2 linked regions of the Sus scrofa genome follow. The protein of the gene in region 1 interacts with the protein of each later gene in a pairwise test. Links are inferred from orthologs where the notes say so. Each region holds a gene or a part of one and is shown in the gene's direction. Other genes may lie near its edges.

What was found.
Region 2: the proteins of ANKRD40 (region 1) and AHCY interact in binary tests that used the Homo sapiens proteins (3 or more experiments, as listed by UniProt). The two-hybrid records come from large-scale screens. The link is inferred for Sus scrofa from reciprocal best matches to the Homo sapiens genes ANKRD40 and AHCY.

What each region holds. Positions count from the first base shown.
Region 1 is NC_010454.4:26,992,959-26,997,085, reverse strand, and holds the start of ANKRD40 (ankyrin repeat domain-containing protein 40), read left to right. Parts: upstream 1-1,325; 5' UTR 1,326-1,564; coding exon 1,565-1,698; intron 1,699-4,127.
Region 2 is NC_010459.5:37,730,871-37,734,385, reverse strand, and holds part of AHCY (adenosylhomocysteinase), read left to right. Parts: intron 1-63; coding exon 64-213; intron 214-1,264; coding exon 1,265-1,377; intron 1,378-1,834; coding exon 1,835-2,042; intron 2,043-2,131; coding exon 2,132-2,219; intron 2,220-2,320; coding exon 2,321-2,438; intron 2,439-3,515. UniProt on the Homo sapiens protein: Catalyzes the hydrolysis of S-adenosyl-L-homocysteine to form adenosine and homocysteine. Binds copper ions.

The sequences.
Region 1 (4,127 bases):
TACCTGGTGTGCACTATGTACTGTGTGAACGACTATCATAATAAACAAATAATAATGGTTTTTCTTAAACAGTAGCAAGAAAAATGCTTGCTGTGCAAACCCTGGGCTGCCCCCAAGGGAGGGAATTGAAAACTCCATGCCTAAATGTGTCACTTCCTATTTCGTCTCCTCTCTGATTTCAGTCCTTCCTCCTTTCCACCCCAGGTTTATTTCCTTAATCCTCCAGACCCCATCTGCAAGCTTCCATCCTGTGCCACATTGGAAGATCTCTCCCAGGCACCTGGGCTCAGCAAAGCCGTCCTTTTTTTTTCTCCTGCTGGGTAGTAAAGCAGTGCCAGCCCAGGCTCTGAGCCTCATTAAATTGATTAGGCAAAGAGTCAGGTAAAATGCTGTCTATACTTGCTCCGTGGCTCTGGCCAGCTCCGGATTATCAGGGAGGGGGATAACTCCAAAGCCTCTTTGGTGTTCTTCTTTTCTTTTTTTCCTTACATGGCTTTTGCGAAGGGTAATTAATTGTGATTACACGCAGTAATAAATTACAATGTATAGGCCTTGCGCACAATCTGTTTTTTTCCTGAAAGCCACGTTAGAAGAAATCTGTCTAAAATGAGATGTAAAACAACAGCAATTGAAATAATCGAAATAGGAGTTCCCGTCGTGGCGCAGTGGTTAGCGAATCCGACTAGGAATCATGAGGTTGCGGGTTCGATCCCTGGCCTTGCTTAGTGGGCCGATGATCCGGTGTTGTCGTGAGCTGTGGTGTAGGTTGCAGACGCGGCTCGGATCCCGAGTTGCTGTGGCTCTGGTGTAGGCCGGTGGCTACAGCTCTGATTCGACCCCTAGCCTGGGAACCTCCATATTCCGTGGGAGTGGCCCTAGAAAAGACAAAAAAAAAAAAAAAAAAAAAAGAAAGAATCGAAATAAAAGGTTCCAAGCACTGTCAAAGGAAGAAAAAACCGTGTAGTCTATTTCCGCAATAATGGGTGTATAATAGAAGGATCGGTTTCACCTCATTTTCCCATCCTGCTGGGCAAGAGTTGGCTCAGATAAGGAAAAAGAGCCAAACACACCAGTTATTTCTGATGCCCGGTAAACAGCCTGCGCCAGAGGAGAAGGCTTTCTGGCTCTCAAATAAGAGTTCTTCGCTTTACTTGTGTCTGTTCTCCTCCCTCCGAGCTGCGTGGTGGGGAGTTCTAAAAATAGTCGGTGAATCACCGCAGATAATACCGTGCAGCCGTTACATAAAGCGCCGGCCCGCGCGGGAGCCGGGGCCGAGGGTAGGAACGGAAAATATCTGGGTCACGGTTGTCACTCTGAATAAGTTCCCCCGGAGCCGGCCTGCGGGAGGCGCGGCCGGGAGGAGGCTTGGGCCCGCGGGCCGGGAACAGCAGGGGAACGGCGGGCGGCCCGCGGGAGGGAGCCGAGGCCCGGGTCGGGCGCGGGAGGCGGCGCGAGCGGGGCGGGCGAACTCCGCGCGGTCTCCCCATGGCGGGGAGCGGGCCGCCGCGGCGGCGACGCTGACCGGCCGGGGCGGGGCGGGGCGGGGGCCTGGGGCCGAGGGAAGATGAGCGCTCTGCTAGAGCAGAAGGAACAGCAGGAGAGGCTGCGGGAGGCCGCGGCCTTGGGGGACATTCGGGAGGTGCAGAAACTGGTGGAGAGCGGGGTGGATGTGAACTCCCAAAATGAGGTCAACGGCTGGTAAGTGGGGAGCGGGGGAGGCCTAGGGTCAGCGCTGACAGCCCGGGACGCGACCTCGGCCTAGCGCTGCCCCAGACGCCCGCTTAGGCGTGGCCGGGCGCTCCGGGCCTCCGAGGCTGTGCGCCCTGGAGGCCAGCCCTGGTCCCCCTGCTTCGGGTAGTCTTCGGCGCGTCGTGCCCAAGTCCCGGCCCACGTGGTCCTGCCCCGGCAGCGCCCACCCGAACCCTGGCGCCCCGCCGTTCCCCCCCCCACCCCCTGCCCCAAAACGTGGCTGGAACGGCGCTGGCTGCGAATTCTCACCCTAAGATGGAGCTCACCCCAGTTTGAATCCTCAATTTTCCTGAAGAACACATCTGTGCAGAGCAAAAAGCATAAAACAACTGAGCATATATGAATCTTATAAACTAACAATTTCTTTTCCCAAGACTAGGGAAAAAAAATCACTTGTATTCTTCGTGGGCTTCCCCTCTCACTACAGCAGTGATTTGCTGCTACCTCCAGCTGCCTGTTGCAGGAAGACTCATTCATTTATTCTATAGAGTGTTTTGTTTTGTTTTCTTAACAACAGTTTCAAATATGAGACTTTATCCAAGACTTTAGATGCCTGCCTGCCATGGAGTTCTTCCCAACTAATAAGAAGTCTCAGTTTAAGATGTGCTGGTGGTGAAATGTTTAGTATTAAGTTACAGAATGTGGTATTATTCTGCTCTCTTAACATCTAAATTTTAATTTTTTTACTTGGTCCAGGTAATGCTTAACCAGCCTATTTTGCTAGCTGAGAGTTAAAGTGAGTTTGCAAATGTTATTTACCTATCTGTCTATCTATTTATTTCTGGCTGCCCCTGCAGCATTAGGAAGTTCCCAGGGCAGAGATGGAACTGCGCCACAGCAGTAACCAGAGCAGTGACAACATCAGGTCCTTAACCTGATGAACCACCAGGGAACTCCACAAATGTTTTATTTTTTAAAGGGGAATCATACATTTTAAGACCAAAAGGGACGTGGGAGATGGGTTCAACCCCAGAGAATAACTTGCCCTAGGTCACACAACAATTTTAATAAAATAGCCAGGACCAGAATCACCATTTCCTAACTTCCTCACAAAGCCTACCTAACCTCCCTCCCTACCCTAAAGAAAATAGCCTGGGTGTCTGTCCGGAAAGCCAGGAGACAGTAGAAACTGCCTTTTTGTTTTGTTTAAAAGTGTTTGCAAACTAGCTTGCTTTTCTGTGTGTGCCATTTCTAGCATTGCTCTGTGGTTCATGAGCTGTCTTCATTGTTTTGGCACTGGGAGGCAGTGTTGTGTAGAAGAACGAGCCTGCTTTCCTGCAGGATCTTCTCCATTCCTGCTTAACAATACAATCTTGCTCACATCACTTAATTTTCCAGTTACTTCAGAAGAGTATTGTCAACATTTAAGAAGATGAGGCAAGACATACCTAGCTAACATTTATTGGGCTTGCCCTGTAGCACAAAGATTCCACGTGCTTTATTTCATTCACATCTACTCAAGGATATAGCTATTGTTATTCTCTCCAATTTGCAAATGAGGAAACTGAGGCTCAGAAAGATTAAGTCATTTCCCCAAGGTCACAGAATTCATAGTAACTAATGGAGCTGGGAAACAAATCCAGAATCTGACTCCAACCACCCTCCTTTATTTGACTGCACCTGCCACGGTAGGTGGAATTTCCTGAGCCAGGAATTGAACATACACCACAGCTGTAACCAGAGCCACAGCAGTGACAACGCCAGATACTTAACCTGCTGAGCCACCAGGGAACAACAAACCCTGCTTTCGTTTTTTTTTAGGGCTGAAACCTTCGGCCTATGGAGGTTCCCAGGCTAGGGGTCAAATCAGAGCTGTAGCGGCCAGCCTACGCCACAGCCACAGTAATGCCAGATCCGAGCAGTGTCTGTGACCTACACCACAGCTCCCGGCAACGCCGGATCCTTAGCCCACTGAGCGAGGCCAGGGATCGAATCCGCAACCTCATGGTTCCTAGTCGGATTCATTTCCACTGCGCCACAGCAGGAACTCCCTGGCTTTCATAGATTTAATTGAGGAAGATGTCTAATAGGACTTCAAATTCAACATGTCCAAGGTTCAGTTCCTGGTCTCCCTCATACCCCTAACTGCCCCCAGCCTGCTCCTGAGTTCTCCTCTCAGCATCTGAGTGCACAGGCCAGAACTTTTAGTGCCTCCTGTCTTTCCCTCACATCCCACATTCAATCAAGCTGCTAATACCGCCAGCTCCACCTTCAGGATATAGTTGGAGTCTGACTGCTTCTCACTAACTCCACCACTACACCTCTGGTGCAAAGCCACCATGGTTCTGTCACTTGGATTAAGGCAGTAGCCTCCTAACTAGACTCCTTGCTTCTACCCTTCTATCCTATATCTTTTCTTAACACAGCAGCCAGGAGGA
Region 2 (3,515 bases), on another chromosome or scaffold:
GTGGTTCCCTGGAGTAGGTGCCAGTGGGGACGGCCAGACCCTGATGTGCCATTCACTCTCCAGTGTATGCCTGGAAGGGTGAAACGGACGAGGAGTATCTGTGGTGCATTGAGCAGACACTGTACTTCAAGGATGGGCCCCTCAACATGATCCTGGATGATGGTGGTGACCTTACCAACCTCGTCCACACCAAGTACCCAGAGCTCCTGTCAGGTGAGTTGGCCCAGTGGGTGGGCTGGGTGCTGGTGGTGTAAATGGGGACTTGCTTACTCACGAGAAAGTAGCAGGCCCAGCAGGACACTCAGTGCCTCGAGCAGCAGATTCCATGGAAGATAGGAGGATAGCAGGTGAGCTGGGATGGCTAGGGGAGGTCTGGCTGAGATGCTGTGGTCCAAGGGCAAGTGTAAGACCAGGGCAGGGGAGTTTCCACTGTGGTGCAGTGGGTTAAGAATCTGACTGCAGTGGCTCGGGTCCCTGCAGAGGCGAGGGTTGGATCTGTGGTCTGGCTCAGCTTTGGCTTGGATTCAGTCCCTGGCTTGGGAACTTCCACATAGTGCAGGTGTGGCCATAAAGAAAAAACAAAAAAACGAAAAAAAAAACCACCAGGTCAGGGGAGGAGTCAGCTTTGTTTGTTAAAAGCTGGGTGGGGAGGAAAGTAGGGGATGCTATTAGTGAATACAAAGGCCCTGAGGCGGGAAAGGAGAGACTGTTCATTTTGGGCAACAGAAAGTTAGCATGGCACCTTTCTTCACTGGGGAGAATTACAGGATGTGGCTGGAGCATTAATGAAGATCAAGTGTGTGAAGATTTAATAGACTAAGAGAAAAGAGTTTTGGCTTGACCCTTAGAGCAAAGGGAAGTAACTGGATGGTATTGAAAGACTTCTCTGAAAATGTACATGTAAAAAATGGCTGCTGTGTAGAGGATGGATTGTGGCTGGGAGACCAGGCAAGTGATGATGATGGCAGGGACTTGGGCAGTGATAACAGGAGTGGAAGGTTTGGGAGCTGTTGGGAGGTAGAATCATTAGGCCTGGTGATGGTGGTGACACCTCCATCATCATGCTGGCCTAGGTGATGAGTAGACTGTGCTACAGGTAACAGAAGACAGGACTCTAAAAAAAAAGAGTGGTTTTAGGAGGCAAAGATGAGGAAATGGGGTGAGTTGAGATGTGGGCTCTCTCTTGGGGTCTCATCCCAGAGGCCACCCCATCCCTTGGGCAGCCCCTTCTGGCCTGAGGTTCTCCCCGTCCCCTCTTGTTCAGGCATCCGAGGCATCTCTGAAGAGACCACAACGGGAGTCCACAACCTGTACAAGATGAAGGCCAACGGGATCCTGAAGGTGCCTGCCATCAACGTTAATGACTCTGTCACCAAGGTGAGCCTGTGGGACAGTGATGGCTGTAGTCTTGGTTCCCAGTGCAGCTCAGGAATAAGCCCTGAAGAAAGTCCCCTTGGAAGGCTGCAGGCTAGGGACTTAGCCCTCATTTGAGGGGGGAAGGGGTTGTAGATGGACGGTAATAAGTGCATTAAAGAGGCAAAGAACTACATAGTGATCTTCAGAGCTGGGCAGCGAGAACTTTAAAGTGAAGCCGATTCTTTGGGCAGTCCCTCGTGGTTGATCCTCAGGAAACGTGGACTGGCAGAGAAGGGCTAGGGAGAAAGTCTTGGGGCTGAACAGGGCAAAGAGCATATGAACACATTAGCTGGTGGTCCCAGAGAAATCCTGGGAGGTGATCAGCAGCCCAAGGCCCACAAGGCTGAGATGTTGAGAGTGGGTCTGAGGCCCTGGGGCCTTGCCTGCCCTATCGCCCCCTTGCCCCCTCTCCTTTCAGAGCAAGTTTGACAACCTCTATGGCTGCCGGGAGTCCCTCATAGATGGCATCAAGCGGGCCACAGACGTGATGATTGCGGGCAAGGTGGCAGTGGTAGCGGGCTATGGCGACGTAGGCAAGGGCTGTGCCCAGGCCCTGAGGGGTTTCGGGGCCCGCGTCATCATCACGGAGATCGACCCCATCAACGCACTTCAGGCTGCCATGGAGGGTATGATAGGGCGAGGGTCGGCTGTCAGCCACGGGGCCAGAGGAGGGGGAAGCCACTCTGGGTGACCCACAGATACTGTCTCTACACAGGCTATGAGGTGACCACCATGGATGAGGCCTGTCAGGAGGGCAACATCTTTGTCACCACCACGGGCTGTATCGACATCATCCTCGGCCGGTAGGGGCCAGGTGGGGTGGGTCCAGGGAGTGAGGGAGGGGGCACACTTGGGACTGCTCTTTGTCCCTCACAGCCTGCCACTGGCTGGGGCTCCCCCACAGGCACTTTGAGCAGATGAAAGATGACGCCATCGTGTGTAACATCGGACACTTTGACGTGGAGATCGATGTCAAGTGGCTGAACGAGAACGCAGTGGAGAAGGTGAACATCAAGCCCCAGGTGAGAAGCCCCAGCCCTGCCAGCTGGGATAGCGGATGGAGTGCCAAGGTGGGGCGTGCTCGTGGGCTGGACACCAAGGAGGGCAGAGGCAGAGGTCTGACAAACCTGGGCAGTGGATGGGGAGGAAGAGGGCCTGGTTTCAAGGCTACTTACATTGAAGTCTTGGAGTGATGCCTAGGTACCCCCATTTTTATTTTATGTATTTATTTTTCGTCTTTTGTCTTTTTAGTGCCGCGCCTATGGCATATAGAGGCTCCCAGGCTATGGGACAAATCGGAGCTATAGGTGCCAGCCTACGTCACAGCCACAACTACGGCCACACAGGATCCGAGCTGCATCTGTGACCTGCACCACAGCTCACAGCAACGCCGGATCCTTAGCCCACTGAGTGAGGCCAGGGATCGAACCCATGTCCTCATGGATACTAGTTGGGCTCGTTAACCACTGAGCCATAATGGGAACTCCAGCATTCCCATTTTTAAATCCCCAACATGATTCTGATGTGCAGCCAAGGCTGCACCATTGTATTTAGCTTTTTACTAAATAAGCATGGAGATCGAGAACATGGAGCCTGTCTTTAGACTGTCCAGGCTCAAATTGCAGCCACTTGCTAATGTGTAGCTCTGACAAGTGAGTTACCTTTTTAAACTTCAGGTTTTTTTCTGTTTCTTTTTTTGGCCACACCTGTGACATGCAGAAGTTCTCAGCCAGGGATCAAACCTGAGCCACAGCAGTGACAATGCTGAATCCTTAACCACTATGCCATCAGGGAACCTCAGTTTTATATCTGTAAATGGGGATGATAGTAGTACTTAAATCATAGGGCTCTTAGTAGGATTAAGTGTGATAAAATTATACGTACACATGTACATACATAGTTACACACACACACACACACACACACACGGTTTTGTTTATGTTCTCAGCCTGGGGCACCTGCCAATAATAATAACAACAACAATAATAACAGTAACTAATCAGTAGTACTTAAACTAAGTGCTTTGCACATAGCAGCTCTTTAAATTCTCACAGCAGATCTAAGAGGTCTGCAGTTCAGAGTTGCTTAATAAATATTGA